Linked DNA regions of Oryzias latipes. The protein of the gene in region 3 purifies or fractionates together with the protein of the main gene of each other region. This does not show direct contact. Links are inferred from orthologs where the notes say so. Each region holds a gene or a part of one and is shown on either strand. Other genes may lie near its edges.

What was found. Proteins that work in one complex are often made in the same cells at the same time.
Region 1: the proteins of pop7 (region 3) and ibtk purify together in Homo sapiens (affinity purification with mass spectrometry; 3 studies listed by BioGRID and IntAct, with this or other methods). This does not show direct contact. The link is inferred for Oryzias latipes from reciprocal best matches to the Homo sapiens genes POP7 and IBTK.
Region 2: the proteins of pop7 (region 3) and pop1 purify together in Homo sapiens (affinity purification with mass spectrometry; 3 studies listed by BioGRID and IntAct, with this or other methods). This does not show direct contact. The link is inferred for Oryzias latipes from reciprocal best matches to the Homo sapiens genes POP7 and POP1.
Region 4: the proteins of pop7 (region 3) and rpp38 purify together in Homo sapiens (co-immunoprecipitation; 3 studies listed by BioGRID and IntAct, with this or other methods). This does not show direct contact. The link is inferred for Oryzias latipes from reciprocal best matches to the Homo sapiens genes POP7 and RPP38.

Annotation. Positions count from the first base shown.
Region 1 is NC_019874.2:4,317,305-4,321,803, forward strand, and holds the start of ibtk (inhibitor of Bruton tyrosine kinase), read right to left. Parts: upstream 3,225-4,499; 5' UTR 3,065-3,224; intron 1,330-3,064; 5' UTR 835-1,329; coding exon 511-834; intron 363-510; coding exon 266-362; intron 116-265; coding exon 1-115. UniProt on the Homo sapiens protein: Acts as an inhibitor of BTK tyrosine kinase activity, thereby playing a role in B-cell development. Down-regulates BTK kinase activity, leading to interference with BTK-mediated calcium mobilization and NF-kappa-B-driven transcription.
Region 2 is NC_019874.2:6,456,675-6,461,377, forward strand, and holds the start of pop1 (ribonucleases P/MRP protein subunit POP1), read right to left. Parts: upstream 3,225-4,703; 5' UTR 2,815-3,224; coding exon 2,685-2,814; intron 2,395-2,684; coding exon 2,296-2,394; intron 1,991-2,295; coding exon 1,815-1,990; intron 1,737-1,814; coding exon 1,476-1,736; intron 1,391-1,475; coding exon 1,303-1,390; intron 995-1,302; coding exon 816-994; intron 704-815; coding exon 429-703; intron 355-428; coding exon 261-354; intron 186-260; coding exon 77-185; intron 1-76. Other genes in the region: rida (2-iminobutanoate/2-iminopropanoate deaminase), read left to right, coding at 3,420-3,484, 4,024-4,129. UniProt on the Homo sapiens protein: Component of ribonuclease P, a ribonucleoprotein complex that generates mature tRNA molecules by cleaving their 5'-ends. Also a component of the MRP ribonuclease complex, which cleaves pre-rRNA sequences.
Region 3 is NC_019876.2:6,185,394-6,189,369, reverse strand, and holds pop7 (ribonuclease P protein subunit p20), read right to left. Parts: upstream 2,577-3,976; 5' UTR 2,421-2,576; intron 1,924-2,420; 5' UTR 1,895-1,923; coding exon 1,445-1,894; 3' UTR 903-1,444; downstream 1-902. UniProt on the Homo sapiens protein: Component of ribonuclease P, a ribonucleoprotein complex that generates mature tRNA molecules by cleaving their 5'-ends. Also a component of the MRP ribonuclease complex, which cleaves pre-rRNA sequences.
Region 4 is NC_019874.2:17,912,431-17,917,233, reverse strand, and holds the start of rpp38 (ribonuclease P protein subunit p38), read left to right. Parts: upstream 1-1,579; 5' UTR 1,580-1,678; intron 1,679-2,524; 5' UTR 2,525-2,531; coding exon 2,532-3,359; 3' UTR 3,360-4,803. Other genes in the region: acbd7 (acyl-CoA-binding domain-containing protein 7), read right to left, coding at 228-290, 377-494, 1,140-1,151. UniProt on the Homo sapiens protein: Component of ribonuclease P, a ribonucleoprotein complex that generates mature tRNA molecules by cleaving their 5'-ends. Also a component of the MRP ribonuclease complex, which cleaves pre-rRNA sequences.

The DNA.
Region 1 (4,499 bases), on a different chromosome or scaffold from region 3:
TAAACTCCAGACCTGGCAAACACATCCACAAGCTCAGGGTGCTGCCGGCTCTCCTGATTGCCGTGACCGAGACTAAAATTGGTGTTGTTTCCCCACGTGTACACTTCTGTTGGGTCTGAAGTGAACAAAACACTATTACCAATGTAACCAAGACGATGCCGACACTGAATCAAGATTTAACCTCTACAGGGAGATCAACTTGCAGATTTGACGAAGTGAAAAAACGGAACAAAAGCAAAAACTAAAAGGTTTTTACTTTCCTTACCAGTGTTTTTGAAAACAACATGTGCTGGTCGGTCCTTCATCGTCAGGTCCAGGACAGAGAAACCTTCCTTATCCTGGGTGGAAAGAAGTCCACCATGCTAAAACCAAAGCAAAACAATATTTCATCATTTTTTCCACTTGTGACAATAAAGCAACAATGTTTTGGTCATTATATTTATTGTTAGAGAAGAAAAAAGAGCATCTCTAAACAAAACTGAATAGCACAGCTTTTTAGATGAACTATACCTTGATGAGTGATGTGAGGCAGTGAATCTGTCCATAGAAAGCGCTGCGATGCAGAGCAGTCCAGCCAGATTCCTTATCCTTTACCATAAGGTCTGCCCCCTTGCTCTCCAGCAGCCACTCCAGCACCGCTTTCTTTCCCAGCGAGGCCGCGAGGTGAAGGGCCGTGCGGCCAAACGCGTCGCGCAGGGTGGTTGCATTGTGACAATATGAAGTCAGAAACGCCTTGAGTTGCCTCTCGGACCCCCCAGTTAAGGCAGCTATGACCTGGTCTGCGTGCTGTTGGGACCGGCATTTGGGGGTGCAGTCTGCTGGTGCCAGACTCATCCTGGCCTCCAACTAATTTTTATTGTGAAACCGCTTTCCTTCTGTTACAAAGTCCTTCAGACAAATCCACCAGCCCCAGTTCCAACCCCCACCGAAAACGTGTGGTGTGAGGTTTAGGAACAGAAGAAGTCGAGATGATCTGGAGTGCTAGAATCGTGCCTGTGTTGAGGTTCCACTGCACCCTAGCAACCCCAGGGCCTTAGCTGGACTTGACTCAGTCCACCATATTGACCGAGGTTTGAAAATAAACAATGCTGCTTGCAGCATATAATGACATCCTAAATTCAATAAATACAAAATTTCATGTGTTTTATACAAAAATTTCTATCTCAGAACTTGCAAAAATAGTATTTTCACCTAATCATTTACAAAATGCAACAACTTCAACAACCAGTAGTCCTTCTGATCCAACAGTCCACCAAACCTGAGGGGAAAGGCCTCCTTCCCCCCAAAGGATCCCTTTCTGTTTTAAAACGCCATAATTGTAGAGTTCACCTGAGGAGGAAAAACGTTTTCACAAATGTTATTGATATTAAACGCAATAAAATCAACAATTGTACACCTTAAAGTCAAATCATATCAAGTCGTTTCATGAGTCTACAGAGATATATTACAATCCAACATATTTTAAGAGGAGCACATGAGCACCTGCTAAAGTTTACAAAGGACACAAAACAAGTCTTGATTAAATAATTGAGAATTTCAGCCAAACTTTCATCCCGTGTTCCTTGTCGTATAAAGTTATTGATGTCTTGCAGTTTCAAGACTTTATTTTGAAGTGATGTAGATGCAATAAACCCCAGACTTTATTCAAAATGTGGGAAAATGGCTGGTAAATGAAATAGTGGGGTTAAAACGGGTTTTTCTTTGTTTTGTTTTTTCTGATATCGTGGTAGGCCGTCAGTTACAATACCTCCGTGTTTGCTTACTTGTTTTTGTAGGGTTTTTTGTATTGTTTTATCTTCTTATTAATCTTTTTTTTGATACGGTGGCATGCCTGCTACTCCTCTTTGGACTATTCCCCAAAACATCTGGATCTGACGTGGACTGTGGGTGCTTCGTTTACACCACCAGCTGTTGTTGCTTGGCAACAATTAATATACAGCAGAAGGAGCAACCAGGAATTGCAGGAGAGGCTAAGGAGACTGTGGTCCCTCAGAGTTTGCAGGACCCTTAATGAGTTTTTTATGATTGTATTGTTGCATCCGCACTCTTCTACAGAGTGAGCCTCTTGGAGGAGGGCAGATGACAAGAACGGGAAGAGGATGGACAAACTGGTGCAGAGATCTGGCTCCATCCTGGGATGTACCCTAGTCTCTGACTGTAGTGGGCGAGTGGAGGATGTTATGGAAACCGGATCCATAATCTCTTTATCATCAAGCTTTGCATAAAACCATGGGTGCACTTAGGAGCCCCTTCAGTCTACAGTGCCTCACAGACACTGGACAAAAACGTTTGCTATTCATTTCTATGTGTATTTTGAGAGTTGTTTTGTTTTTTCCATCTGCTGATTTAATATAACTATGGTAACAAGTTAATTTATTGTGGGATTAATAAAGTTTTATTTTATTCTACAATGTAGGTTTTTGTCAAACTTCACACTCGTAGATTAAGCTCACTGCCCTTTATGCTGTCCACCTAAACAGAAGAGTAAATAAACTTTTTATGCTGACATGTATTTTATTCCACTAAAAATGTTGGGTGTTTTAGTTTTCCAAAGATTGACTGCTCTACCTTTCGACACAAACATCCTCCTGTTTCCACATTGGTTGGTTGACATCTGGTAGCCCTTAGGGGGAAAGAGCCAACGACGCACTAAGGCTGAGTGTTATGTAATGTTCTGGCGATGTCACATATGATTGGTATTATAGCCTACAGCATAAGCTTAAATATTTTGAACTTTTAAATACTCAATAAAATCAATTTCTTTGATCGTGTTCCTAGAAGTTCCAGTCAAGCTAACGTTAGCTAACAGACTAGATCCTCCTCCAGCCAAAGCTGCGTCATGTCATTTTAGACAATGTATGTATGCAAAACGGAGGGAAAATCCTAACGTGTTGTTTAAAAACATTTTTTAACGGCCGTGTTTGTGGCTCTGCTAGTTACATTCGTTTATGCATATATATACATAAGAGAACCGGATCATCATAGCTTCCCAGACAGTGAGAGCTCGGAGCTAGCATCTCCTCTCGTCAGAGGAATAAATGTCTTGTTGTTCTTGTCCGCTTACCTCTCGCTAGATGTAGAGAAATGAGCTTAAAGAGGAGGATGCATTAGCGGTGGACATACGCTGTGACATGACTACAATACAGAAACTTCAGCCACTGCGTTGCTTGTGCCGATTTTGGCCTGAATATAACACTGCAGGTTAGGTAAACACACTAGTTTCCATCGAGACTTCTGATTGGTCAGAGTGCCCTGTATACTGGAATTCTATTGGTTAATCGTCATAGGACGTTACGTGATTTGAGAGTGGGTCCGTTTGTTTCTGTCACTGGGGTGGGAGTGAGCAGAGAGCAGCATTCTTTATATATCTATATAGATATAGATATATAATATAGATGTATGTTATTATTATTTTAAGTGTACAGTAGAGTATATAATATTTTTTAAGTTTCTTTTTATTCACAGCAAAAGGGGTTAAAACTGTTGTCATTAACGTTCTTGGCTGGTCATTTAACCCTTGTGCTATCCTAGGCACTTTAACATTGGGAGTTGGGTCATCTAGACCCACTAGACTAGACAGTGCTCTGAACCTTTTTTCTTCAATGATTTGTGATCTTCACTGGTGTCCATGGATTACATGAAATCTTTCCACCTTTATCCACCTTTGTCATGGTAGGCACTCTCAAAGATAACTTCAGCTTCTTCATTTCAGCTGCCTCCTGTCTCTGTTTTAGTGTCTCTACCAACATGACTGCTCTCACCGCAGTCTTCTGCACCTTTCCTTTCATTCTTGATGACACTCTTTTGTTACATCACACACAAATCCTTCCTCCACCCATTCCAACCTGCTTGCACACACACTCTTTCACACACTCTCGGCTGTTGTAGATAGTTGACCCTAAGTCTTTAAAGTGCTCCTCCTTGTTCACCTCTTTCCTCTGTAACCTCACCATTCCTGCATCTGATCTTCATTCTTCTTTTGTCCAGAGCAAACCTCCAACTCTCTAGATGTTCTTCCACCTGCTCACTGCAGATCACGGTGTCATCTGCAAGCATCATGGTCCGAAGAGATTCCTGTCTGACCTCACCTGTCAGTCTGCCCATCTAAGGGACTTTTTGCTGGGTCAAAAGGCAAAGGGGACTTGGACTATAAGCGCCACATGGAAAACCATCATCCGTTCACCTTTCTCATCTATATTCCTGCTGCGTTGGCCTTAAACGTTTTGTTTTATGTCATCTTTGTTTTGTTTTTTGTTGTCTTGGTTTTAAATTATGCTTTAAAACATCTCAATAAGAAAGCCTTCTGCTGTCTCTGAGCAAATGGTAATATCCCTCGCAGATCCCTCATTTTTTGTAGTTCTGTGGCCTCACCCTCACTCGTCTGACACTCTATATGCCATGACTCTACACCTCCAGACTTCTTAAGAATGAAACCAGAACCATTTATGTTCCTTTTTTGATTGTATGTTTACCTTACAATTACCGGTACAAAGCCCATT
Region 2 (4,703 bases), on a different chromosome or scaffold from region 3:
TGCACATGAGACATGAAAGCAAAGTCAGTGATCAGGACCAAGGAGAGGAAAAAGCACAAAGCAGCAGAGCTCCAACCTTTCAGTGTCTTAAAGACCTCTGCTTGTTGTTGATGCAGATTCATCTTCCTCTCATCTCTACAGTGCTGAGGCCACCACAGAGAAGAAGCCTGGGACTGACCCGCCTCCTTAAAAACAGAACTCATCTATAATTTTGTCGAGTAGGTTATTTTTGATCAGGAGAACCCTTTCACAACACTCACATCACAGTCTGTGGCTGCCTCCAAGCTTTCTGTTAGCACAGAATGAGACTGAGGTCCGACCAGGCGGTAGCGTACCATCTCCATCGTGAGATCGCTACGACAGATGACCAGATACGTGAATGAAACAGAATCACCTCCTCCAAACAGTTGCTCAGTTCATTCACTGACTTTATTACGATTCCAGTTGAGCTGGACTTCCAGGTGACTGGAGTGTCGGGTGATCTGGTTCCGTCTCCCAAGATCTTCTTAGCAGGAGGTCCACCTGCGTCCACACGGCTCCGTTTCCTCTTTCCTCCAGGTGTCACCTTGGCTTTAGGGGAGACCTCAGGCTTTGGCTCAGACTCCAGGGTGGAAGCAGACTCTGCAGGTGTGGCCACTGGGATAACCGGGGGCACCACCGCCTCAAAGCACTCACACACTCTTTGCAACTCTGGGAGAAGATCCTGAAGAGGAACACATCAGCTGAAATCAACCAGCTTGCTGTGACTGACTCGACACTGACTGGTGTACCAACAACCCAAACCCCCCTGTGAGGATTTAAAAGCAGCCGTTTACCTGCTTCAGAGCGGGATGCGCCCAGATCCACAGCTGCCTGCTGGCTGAGCCTTCTGCTCGAGGTCTCCAAAGAAATGTGACGGGGCCCAGAGGGTGTGAGGGGTACTGCCCCGCTCTGTACACCGTAACGCTGCCCTGTCTGCACCCAGACAGGCACAGAGCTGCAGCAAAGGTAGGGCCTGGAAAAATGTCAACCACAATTCAGAGTTTTATTACCGTACTTAAAGTCCCACTTTGATCATCTTACGATCTATTTTCAAGTGTTCCCAGTGGTCTTTTGATCATGATTGTGCTGAAATGCACTTTCAATCCAAATTTTCTTTATACATTTCCTGAACCATCACAAAAATGCCACAAGAACAAGTTAAAAACACCAAAAGCACCTTTTCATCAGGGTGGATCTTTAAATTAGTCTCAGAAAGTCAAAAAAGGCAGCCTGTGTTTTTTTTTTTTAACGTGGTAAAAAGAAAGTAGTAACAGCCCTCACCCGTCTCCTTGCTGGTCAGCTGTGACAGAGCAGTCAACAGCGTGTCCTCCTCTCCCTGCAGCTCAATGCAGCAGTAATAAGAAATGTCCTGCATAGATGAAAAAAATAACTAAAAAAAAGCAGTTTATCTATCTCCTGGATGTTTTCATATAAATAAAAACAGAGTGTTTTACCAGCAGCAGGCAGTGGCTGCTCATTGCTCTATAGCACGGCCGGTAGCACTTGCACGTTGGTCTGTCCCCGAGACGGTAACCCCACTTCTTTACCATGTGGAAACGCTTGGCGTGCCAAATGTGCGTCTCTAACCAAATGTTCTTGCGCTGGCGGCGATTGAACTCCAGCAACAGGTTGCCGTGGCGCCGGCGAGCTTTGCGGCTTTTACTCTTTGGTAGCTCCTTCTTCTTCTTCGAGCCGGCCTGGAGGCTCTTTTCCCGCTGATGGAGGAGCGTATGTGAGCGCACACGGAGCATGGATGAATCACTAAAGCAGCTGAGAGCATTTGCAGAAATTACCATTTTGCTCGCCACATCTCTCAGCCTGCGGGGAAGCCTCTTGGTGTTGTGGCTCATGGCGCGTCTCCTCATGTGTTTGGGCAGAGCCTGGAAGACATGGTTGCTGCCCGTTCTCTTGGTCACTGCTTTCAGCATGGCCTTCACCTCTGCAGCCCTGCTCCTGGCAAACGCTCCAGCTTGGTGAGGAGAACAATAGAAGGACTTTTAGGAAACTGTAGGAAAAAGGGGCTCTGACAGACCATTTATAAGGTTTCCCAGCATTTTAATTGTTTTTAGGAATTAACAAGAAAGTGTTTAAAGAAAAGGCATCAAATGGTAAAGGGAAAAAAAAAGAAAGCTGCCATCGCCTTTGTCAAATAATTTCCCAAATGTCATGGGAAATGTGGTTGATGTTGTGCATATGAAGGGATTCTGCTCATAAATGAAGTTCGTGACATAAACAACTTTTGCCTGTGTTTGCAGGAGTGAAGCGTCTCCTCACCGGTGATGTATTTGGGCATCTCCTTCATGTAACCTCCTCCTCCATCTCTCTGATTTCCACGAACCCATCCAGTCCTGGGAGGAGGGTTCCTCTGCCATCCTAGCAGAAAAGATCAGAACAAACAGCGTTTTGCTTTTCAAACCACTGTTTCCTTTAATGAGGCGTCAGACATGTGTGGTCAGGACATTTAGAGAATTTTAATGCAGAATATACAAGACAACACTGATGTTGTGTCTTTCTGACCAGCATCATCATGCCACCTAAATGTCAATCATATAAAAGGCTAAGGGGAAAAGCACACAGTGAATGCAGGGCTGAGTGGCCTGCCGCCACCATGTGCTGACCACGCAGCGGCAGTCCCCACTCGTGACAGTGGGCCGTGTCAATACCGGAGTCCTTCGCTTCTTGTCGTCCGTTCTGGCTGCTGCTACCCGCCGCGGCGGAAGGAGACGAATACTGCACGCTGGCAGGCTGGTTCTTCATCTTCCTGTCCCTCATCTTCACCTTGGAAGCAGACATTTTCTCTAGTCTTAACCGCCACAAAACATAAATAAAAAGAAGAAATCCCGAAAAAGTCCAAATAATAAGCCAGCTAGCTACGTTAGCTCACACTGAATCTGAAGTTTTTTCTCCCAAACTTGGATCTAGCAGACTGATTCAAACGTAACTTATGTATAAAAAAGAGGTAAATCAAAAATGTCTATCACAAAATTAAGTCGGATGCAGTTCAATGTTGTCGCTACAGCTAACAACCACATGGGTTTAATTAATGTCAGCTTACGTCGATTTGCTTCCGGGTTCGTGGTACTCTTGGAATTTGTAGTTCAGTTGCCGAAAAGACTAGCGAGTCAGGAGAAAACACGTCGACATAGCAATTTATCTTTTAGGATAGCGTTGTTTTTTTCTTGCTTCACTATAAATATATAATTTTACTGTAAAAAAAATTAAGACAAAATAACTTTCTTTAAAAAGTCAGGTACATTTTGCGACTGTTAGTTGTCATTTACGGTAAGGCGGATCCAACTGTTCTCCGTCGTTTTTTTCCCAATCTTTATTTATAAATTAGTTTCCCTTCGTGTTTTCGCCTTCACACGCCTGCTTTCACCCTGCATGAGTTCAGAAACATGTCTGCGTTAATCAAGAAGATCATCAGCACGACTAAAGCTCCTGCTGCCATCGGTCCATACAGGTGAGCGGAGTACGAATCCGACCGTCTCTGGACGGACACTACACCAAACAAACAAGTGCACGCTTCTTCACTGTGGACTTTACACCGCACCACTGTGGAAAAGTTTAGCTGCTGTTAACCATATTTCTTTAAGAAACTTTTATTTGAGTTCTAATATTTAATATAATTACAAATAAAAACGAATAATAAAAATCAAATGAAATTTGCCTAATCTTAAATTAATCTAAATGCAGCCTTAACATAATCATACCGTGTGTCCGCCCCCCCCCGCCCCCCCTTCCATTTTCCTTTTGATTTATTTCTTTGACCAACTCAAATTATTTTTGACTTTAGAGTAAACTTTTGTCTGGTCTCTAAAAACTATTAACCTGAAGCTTTTTTTGTTTTTTTTCCTCACAAAAAAAAAGCTTTCAAAGTAAAAGTTAGCTTATAAAATGAATTTAATCATAAAACCTACATTGCAGCTGTAGACATGATTTTTTATTTTTCCATGAAATCTTTTTGAAATAGGCTGATACTGTGGTGCTGTTGTCTTCCAGCCAGGCGGTGCTGGTTGATCGGACCATGTTCATATCAGGACAGCTGGGGATGGATCCCGCCACCACACAGCTGGTGGAAGGAGGCGTTCAAGCACAAACCAGACAGGTGACCACACGGCTTCTCTTAAAACATTTGTAGCTTTCCTTCTCAAACTACAAAGGTGGATTGTGAACAAGCTAAAGACCCACCTTTACGAAAATGAGTTTTTTTGGTGTTTTTAACATGTTCTTGTGACCTTTTTCTGATAATTAAGGACATATAAAGAAATTAAGCTTATAATAGCATGTCTGGGTATTTCTTCCAATTGTTGTAAATCAGGAGCAGATGCAAAAATGCAGCTGGAAAAAGCTTGTAAGTGTGGCTGACAAGTTACCCCAGTGGGCCACTAGCTCCCTGCCCCTCTCCATTCTGATGCATCCACTTGTAGACAAATAGACACGTGTGTGTCCTCATTTTTCTCGTCTGAGCTGGAATCTCCACGGCTCCGATATTGCTCGCCATTTTTGTTGCACCGCCAATGTTAGGTTGGGGATACGAGGGAACGTAAGCTAGTGGAAGACGGGGTAAACAGATGATGGAAAGGGGGCAGGCTTTCACGACTACTGTACTACTGTCGCTCTGCAGAAATTATGTCCTGGAAAACGACCCAGGATTCCTGGTTTTGGCTAAACTTGGCATA
Region 3 (3,976 bases):
TACCTCCCCCCTCCGCCACACATGCACACACAAACACAACACCGTGGAGAAATGTGACACGCTGGTCGCTGTGCGGGGGGAAAAGACCGCAGTCTTGTTGCACAGAGGACGGTCCCCCAGCAAGGCTTTTGGACAGATGGGACCTTGGACTGTAGATGTGACTACACGCCCTGATAAAAAACCATGCGGGGATCACCGCACCAATAGCCGTTCTAACAGGCACTCCCTTGCACTTTGCGTATGGATGTACTTTTGTATGTTAGCAATGAGGCTGGTGGTTTCCGTGGGTTTGACCCCTGCTCTTTCCTTTGTGGAGGTGGATGGTGGAGTGGAACACTTGGAAGATATTGATCGCATCCTGGAAATCGGTGACGTAGCGTAGAAAAAAAGAGAAAAAACAAAGTGGTTTTATCTTCACGTGCCTTTTTCCAGTCTCCACGAAAACATGTAATCTCACAGAAATTGTATTTTTTAAGTGATGTAAAAGTTATTTATACAGTTTTTATATGGTTTAAGACCTTTTTCACATCCTGCTGAACATTTGCACACAAAGATGTTCTCATCAGTCGCTGCTTTTCTAGGAAGATCCTGTGTGTGAGAAAGGCTGAGTCACACCTCACGTGACTCAGCGTTTCAGTCGGTGTGTGAGAGTCCCCCTCGACTGTGAAACTGTTTGTTCAATTTCTGCCGGAAGATCCGTGCAACGAAACATCCTGTGCAGCTTTAATCGCCACTTTCCAGAATCTCGACGCCATGCAATCAGCTGATCCTGGGAACTTATGCTTTGACGTTGAAAAAGGGATTCTCGCAGATGGAACTCGTTGAAGGGTCTTCCTTGTTTTTGTACTTTGCTGCGTAAGTCGGAGACGTTTTCGACGATGTTTTTCCTCTTTTCTTTCCTGTTTAGTTGTACTGTTTTTGTTCCGTCATTGTAAAACTGGCTATTTAAGTGCAAACAAAAACGTATTTTTCTTCCATCATATTTTCAAGACTTGAGGCTTATTTTTTTCTGATCTCGACCCTGACACGTATATTTAAACGTAGGTGTTGTATTTAAAGAACGAAAAATTACTTTGAAGAAAACTGACAACTTGTGATTGGAAAACCTCTGTAGCTAAATACTGACATCTAGTGGACATTCATGGGTATGACAGTCAATTGAAAAGTTATTTTTACGTTTGGTTTTTTATTTTTTCTGAGTACATGCAGGCTTAAAGGTTTTTAAAATAAATAAATGTGGCACATGTTCACAAATACATCGTAAAAGTTTCACTTGATGATTTTATGAAAAGAAAAAAAACAACAACAATGGGAAGTTGAATCTTAGCAGAAACTAAGGTGGCCTGCAGCTCCTTGAACTTCACAATAAAGGTCCCAAAAAGTTATTATCAGCATAAACAGATGGTGGAAGCTGTACAGGGTCTTCATGGTGGGTTTCTAGTCACTAAGGTTCAGGGTAGAAGACTTTAATGTGAATGGCGGAGTTGTTGCGCGTGCGCGTCATGGGCTCCCCGCTCTCATCGGGATCTTCGGGCTCCAGGTCGTCGACGAGCTCCACGGTGGAGGTGTTGGCCGCCAGCTGCAGCGCTCCCTGGCTGCCGGCCTGCAGCTGCAGCGCGATGTTGATGGCTCGGTTGATGGCGAGGCCCAGGCCGTGGACGCAGATCTCCCGGTGGCCCCCTCCGTCCAGGAGCTTCTGGCAGCGCGCCAGCTGGGCTCGGAAATCCGTCTTCATGTTGACGTAGACGTCGTTCCGCCGCTTGGGAAGCTTCCGGGGGAGCCGCTTCCTGAGCGTGTACTCCACCGGGTCCATCTCTGCTGCCGGGGAGCCGGACTCGGAGTGTGGCAGCGGCGTTGGAGCCGAGGACATCCCGGCGTGATGGGCCTCAGTCATGTTTGTTTGTGAGAGTGGAAAACACGCACCTGAAGGGAGCATAAACAATCAAATCATTGAAAATACATTAAATATGCTGCAAATTATCAAACATTTTTGACCAGTTGACAACCTGTGAGGATGACAAACTACATAGATTTATATTATCTTAAACACTAACAAAACATATTTATTGTAGTTATCCACATTATAAAATACACACTGTTTAATAAAAATATAAGCTCATTATAACCCGTTTATTATAGAGTAAATATAACACATTCTACAAGATGCACAGACATAATCGAGCACGCTGACGTTTATTTTCAACAAAACTCTAAAATGTTCAAATGTATCGTTTAATTTACGCAAAAATAACGGTTTTTTTAAAGTTTTAACCGATTATTTAGACTAATAGGAGCGGAGCTGTGTTCATAAATAGCATCCGGCTAACGCCTCGAAGCTAGCCGCCGCGCGCGGAAAAAAACCCCGTTCCCGCCTCACTTTCTGTTCTTCTTTCACACCGTCACGTGATGCAGAAACATACCGTGAGGAGACAGACTTTGGTGAGGCCGCGTCTTTAGTTCCTTTCATATTTTTAAGGCCGCTTCATGCTTTTTGAGTGTGTGTGTGTGTGAAGGCTCCTTCCAGCTAACGGATAGCTTTTCTTCTGGTGGAGCTGCAGCAGGAGCGGTTGGAAAACGGTGAATGGGCGCCACACCGCCACCCGCTGGCGCGGAGTCGCAAGGACACTCAGACGAAAAAAAAAAAAAAAAACCCGAGCGGGAAAAACAACAACCTCATCAAATAAGGAAACGTTGGAACATTTTTTTTCATGCAATTACTCAAAAGAGTTCTGAACTCACATAAGGAATGGGATTAATTTACAACTGAACATTCACCCTTTTAGTATTTCTGATGTACAACTGTTAATGGAAAATCTAGATGATTCTAAAATATCATTATCATTTTACTTTTAGGAAAATACCATATCCACTGTTGCAAGTAGAGAGGTATCAGGCCCTCCTTCCCAGGCTTTATCAACAAATTTAAATTATATTATTCCTCACTAAAAAGATTACAATCCTCGGTAGGTGCTAAAATAATATATAAACAAATGTCCTTGTGGCTGTTATTCTGTCCTGTGCTATCATTTGGCTCCTGTTTTTATTTATTGTTTTGATTTTTTTTCTCTCATTTTAATTTTGTAAGTGTTTCAAAACTGTATATCTATGACATCTGAGAGTATGATATACCCCCCCTCCCTTTGAACCGATGTTGCAGCAATCATCGCTAAATTCGCCCAGGGCTCTCCTCTTTTTTCTCCGCCGTACGAGACCAATGTTTTGCTGATTTTTTTGCTGACTTTTCACAATAGTGTGGAAAGCAAAACACTGTATAATTTTATGTGCATCAGCATCCATTGTATTATTGTCGGTATTCATTGGAGACGTTCTGACCCGGAAAAGGAAGGAAAACAAGTGTTGTTTTCCTTCCTTTTCAGAACATCTGTCATGGTTTGGGTTTCTTTTGTCTTGGTTTTTGCTTTATTTCTTGTTCTGTCATGTTTGGTTCTGTTTCCTGTTTCACTTTGAAAGGTGTTCTGTTTGGTCATGTTCCTGAGTTTTACTTCCTTGTCCCTATCTGTCCTGATCTTGTTCACCTGTGTCTTGTCTGCCCTGTCTGTATTTAAGTCTTGTCTCTCCCTTCCTCTTGTGCTGGTCCATTAACGTCACTAACGTTGTAACGTCTCTTCCATGTAAGTCTTCTGCCATGTTTCATGCCACGCCACAGTAAGTTTAGGTTTGTGTGGTTATCCTGCTCTGCAGCGCCTTTTGTTTGCAATTAAACCCTCTTGTCTTGGAACCGTGTGCCTCGTGCCTCTGGGTCCTACCTGCTCTCCTGCCCCCCATATCCTGACAACATCTACGTTTGGTAGTTTTTTAAATGCAAAAATCGGATACGGGTCACTTTTAAAAGATGATGTAAGCGGGCTGTCAGAAAAAATCGGACATAGTCAGAAAATCGTATCTGGGCATTAAGACCTGCAGTGTAATTGCAGCCTATTTTTCCAGTCAAATTTTGCAAACTAACATTACCCTA
Region 4 (4,803 bases), on a different chromosome or scaffold from region 3:
AAAATCAAAACTTAAGATATTTTTTTAACCGTAAATCAAAATGAAATATGGAGAAATTGCAGTTGAAGAGAATTGGGATGTGACATTTGTGATTTACAAATGATGGATTTGTTTAGCAGATTGCTTAGGATAACCTACATCCATTTTTACCCATACTTTGTCAATACTTTATTTCACAGATTTCAGTCAATAAAGCAAACCTGTCATTTTACAAACATTATTATTACCTTTTCTTGAATTCCAAGATTCCCACTTTGCCCTTCCTGTGGCATCTAGCGCTCCTGGTTTGTCTGATGTTGAGAAACACCAAAGAGGAGGGTTGCTTTAAATTCTGCATGCAATGAAGTTAATGCAAAAAAGTGCATTGATCCCTTACCTATGTTAATGTCTCCAACAAGGGATTGCTTATAAAGACCATATAGGGTCAACAATTCGTCGTTTGAAGGCCTAGTCTTTACCTTCTTCACATCCTCTGCCACCGTCTTAAAATCTGCCTTTAAATGAATAGAAGATCGGCTATAAAACAGTATGTGAACTTAATAGTTAAAATATAGGCAACTTTTAATATAAGAAACGAGGTTTTGTAAAAATGTGCATATTAATAAGTTGCAGGCAACACCAAATCAAAAATGTGGGCATAGTGTTTCAGCCAGGGCGCAAAGCCTGGGAAACCAAAGTTTTGGGGAAACAATGGGCTTTTATTTCAGACTCTGGGGCTTTTGTGGCTGTCTGAATAATCTGCTTTACACAGGATGTAAGGCATTGCTGCGCAGATCATTATGCACACTTAAGACAGATCTAAACCCGAAAACCATGTGCTGTACAGAGGTCATTCTTTAAGTTATGACTTACATCCACCTCAACCAAGAGTTTAAATCATCTATTTACATTTTGACATTGAAGCATTTTCGTTGTACACAAACTCTGATATATTCCTGTCAAAGGGTCCAGCATCAGGACCACAGACGGTAAAACATCCTGCTTCTTTCATATCTCGGTCAAAGATGCACGGGGCAACGACCATTACAATGTCATTAGAACATTAACGCTACTATGTGGAATGAAAGTAAAGCTCAACGTGATAAAAAAAAAAGCAAAAAATAAATAAAGAGAAAGAAAAGATAAAGAATAGCAGTTACCTCGAGCGACATCTTTTTGAATCAAAGCAGCAAAAGACCACAGTTGAACGTCGACGGTCTGCACGGTTATGCGCAGCTGTAATTGCAACACAGCTGATCAGTGCAAGATTTGACAACCAATCAGGAGCCTGAGGAGGAGGGACCATGTTTGATCTCAGACGCTGATTAGTTGTCTGTCAACTTCAATGACTTCAGGACAAAAAAATCAGAAACATTAATAGTTGATCTTTTTATGCTTATCCTTCGTGTAATTCCCATTTATCATCATGAAAACAACAAATGTTTTTTTTTCACTGATCGTCGTAAATGTCCAGATAATTCTGTTTGTTTGTCTCCTTTAACTTACATCGTTTTCAGAGAAAATGTCATTAAATGAACGTCGCGTGTCCTTTTCACAAGCCAACATTAGGCGGCGCTGAAGTAAATGAAACTAATAGTTTTTAAATAAAGGTTTCGAATTCAAACAGCATGGCGGCGCCTCAGTTTAACAAGGTAGAGGGAAACGTTTGATGAAACACTCTTTTAGCTTCAAAAGTCACGTAAGTTTTAATGATTTGGTCCATTAGTTTGTCGTCAATGCTTCTCATTTACTGATAAAATGAATGTAAACTGAGCTAAACCTGTCAGAAGGGGAGTTCTTTTAGTTTTAACAGTCGTGCCTTGGGTGGGTCGCGTGCTCCAGATTTTATGCTGTGAACAGTGAAAACTTCTAACATTTTGAGTAAATAAGTCTGATCTCCTGCTAATGTGTTTGGGAGTTGAAAATGCTCCCATTTCTTTCTGTTTACTTCACAAAAAAACTAGAAAAAAATAAATAAGTGATGGAAAACTGTTTAGCTTTTCAATAGTTTGACCATTTTAAATGTCAAGTCCCCTTCTGAGTCTGTGGAGGCCAGGAAAACCTTTTATTAGGATGGCTTGTGTGATTATTAAAATGGCATGACAAACTTCTGTTCAGCCAATTATGTGCTGTGGGGTTAGTGTAGATCATTATTTGGAGAGTTATCACTAAACTAAGTTAGACAACTTTAGAACTGGTCATCAACTTGGTAAACTTTTTGTTTTTTCCAACCACAGGACTAAAGTAAAGATTTTGATCTCATTATGCGAGTTTGTGGTAAAGATTTATTTGTTGATTGAAGACTGAAACTAGCCATTGTTTGGGGTTTGTTCTGCCCGGTGATATAAACTTATGGAAATTAATTTGATACCTGATGATCAAATTTGGGTTTGTTTGATATAGAAAAGGAAAAGGGAAGTGCGGATTCTACTTTAGACCTTTCTTAATTTTGTTTTAATGACAGTACTTTGGAAAAGTTATTTAGCAGAAAACGCTTAGGTTTTTAAATCTAACGTTTCTGGAAAACTTTAAAATCTGATTTCAGACAAGCCATGGCGACTTCTGTAAAGCCAGCCACTAAGAAAAAGCGAATCCAAGCAAAGACCTCCTTCAACTCACCCTTCACCTCACAGTGGAGCCAACTTCCCCAAGAAGATATGCATTTTATCCTGAAAACGTTAACGGACAAAATGATTTCAACAGGTCTGGAGAAAAAAGAGGTGAAAGTGTTTCGATCATGGGGGAAAAGGAAGGAAGAGAAACCTCCTTCAACAGCTGAATCTTTGAGCCAGGAGACTCAGGGGGGTGAGCTCTCCACAAACGGCTGGACGGATGTTGCAGCAAGACGGCAGCTGGCCATCGGCATCAACGAGGTCACTAAAGCTCTGGAGAAGAATGAGCTCCACCTGCTGCTCGTGTGCAAATCTGCCAGACCAAACCACATGACTAATCACCTGATCGCTTTGAGTGCTACACGAGCTGTGCCGGCCTGTCAGGTGCCACGCCTGAGCCAGAGTCTGTCAGAGCCACTGGGCCTGAAAAGTGTCCTCGCACTGGGATTCAGGCGATGCTCCTCTATAGACCAAGAGATGTTCACTGACACTATTGATGCAATCAAACCAAGAGTTCCTCCGCTGGATGTTGCATGGTTACAAGAGGCAGCGCCTAAAGTCCCACCTGAAGTTCTTGTTGGCATGGAAGAGGAGGAGGAGGAGGAGGAGGAGAAGATGGAAAGAGGTCAAAAAAGAAAACTAGAGGTGGAATCTGAGATTCCGGAGGTTCCCTCTTCCTGCACACTGCAGCCTCTTAAAGTGAAGAGAATTGTTGCAAACCCTTCAAAGAAAAGAAAAACCAAACCCGAGAAAAAATCTGTCAAATAAAACAGACACTGGAAAATAGAGGAAAACCCCCTTTTTTTTCAGATAGTTTTGGATTCCTGTTTTGTTTTTATTTTCATTTTTAGTTTCTAAAGTGTTAAATTCAAAGAGTAACCACAGCGAAGTTTCATCATAGACAGGACAGTTTTAATTACTGAATCCAGCTCACTGTTTAGTTTTTGCGGACAGTTTTATTTCCTTCATTGAACGAACACACTTGTTAGTATAATTCACTCATATTGTCTATGAACCAGAATGCTGTTAATAATATATATTTATAACACATGGGTCAAATATAAATGCTTTTGTTTGTTGCATAGAAAGGATATAAATAACAAAAAAACAAGGAGTTGATGATAAGGAGTAGTATTTTATAAATGTACTTTTAATACTGTTTTTATCGCTTTCAAGGTAAAATACTGAAAAATCTAAAATGCTGGGAAAAACAATACAGTAGTAGCTTCATTTGGAAATTTTACTTTACAAAAGAAGTCTACAGTGCAGTTATTTAAATTTGTGAAAGGTGGGGAAAACCTAACATGTATTATAGATGCACATTATTTACACTCTGAAAAGTAATGTGATTAAAAAAATGCTTTTCATTTTAATTCAAGACTCGCCTAATACTGCCACGAACAATATCCCTTTATTACTTCTACATTATAATCATAAAAGTATTAATTGATGTTCTATCAAACTAGCACAATCTGGGATTAGCAGACCAATTAAAGATGCGTAATTTCTTCCTAAAGCAAAATCTTCACTTTTAACTGTCATCCTAACTGAATTTCCTCATTTCAAGTTGATCATACTTATAAAAAAAAATACTATTAGCATCTTTTTTACAGTTTGAAAGCAAATGTCAATGGTTTGCCTTGAAATGCAAAAGAAATGATGCAAAGATTACTCACATTCTCCTTTCAAATGAGTTTATTCAACCAGATTATCAGGTATCCATGCTGGTATAGCGGATGTGTTGAAATGGATTGTTTTGCATGGGTTCACGTTTGAATGAGGCTGGTACGAGTTCTTCAGTTTTAATCACAGCTTATAAGGGCTTTTAATAAAAATACTGTTGTTCAGTTAAGATGTCTGTCAGATCAAAAACTCGCTCCTTCATCCCAGCTGCAAAAGAAAAACAAATACTTCAAAGTAAGGCGGATATTTGGGGTCAAAGTCCCTCATACGTTTGACTGCTAAAGCGATTGCTGAAATTAATTTTGTAGCAAAACGCACATGCTCAAGAGTTCATTCAAACAGCTGCAGAAAAAACATCTTACAAATAATGCCAGCATCATTCTTCTCATCTGACTTCAGTGTCAACATTTTTGGCAAAAAAAAACATTTCAATTCTGAAGCAAAAAACAAGTTTGTACTTTAAATTGTAAAGGGATATAAATAAAACTATGTAAATACAAACAAAACAGCAGCCTTCAGTTCTGCAGAG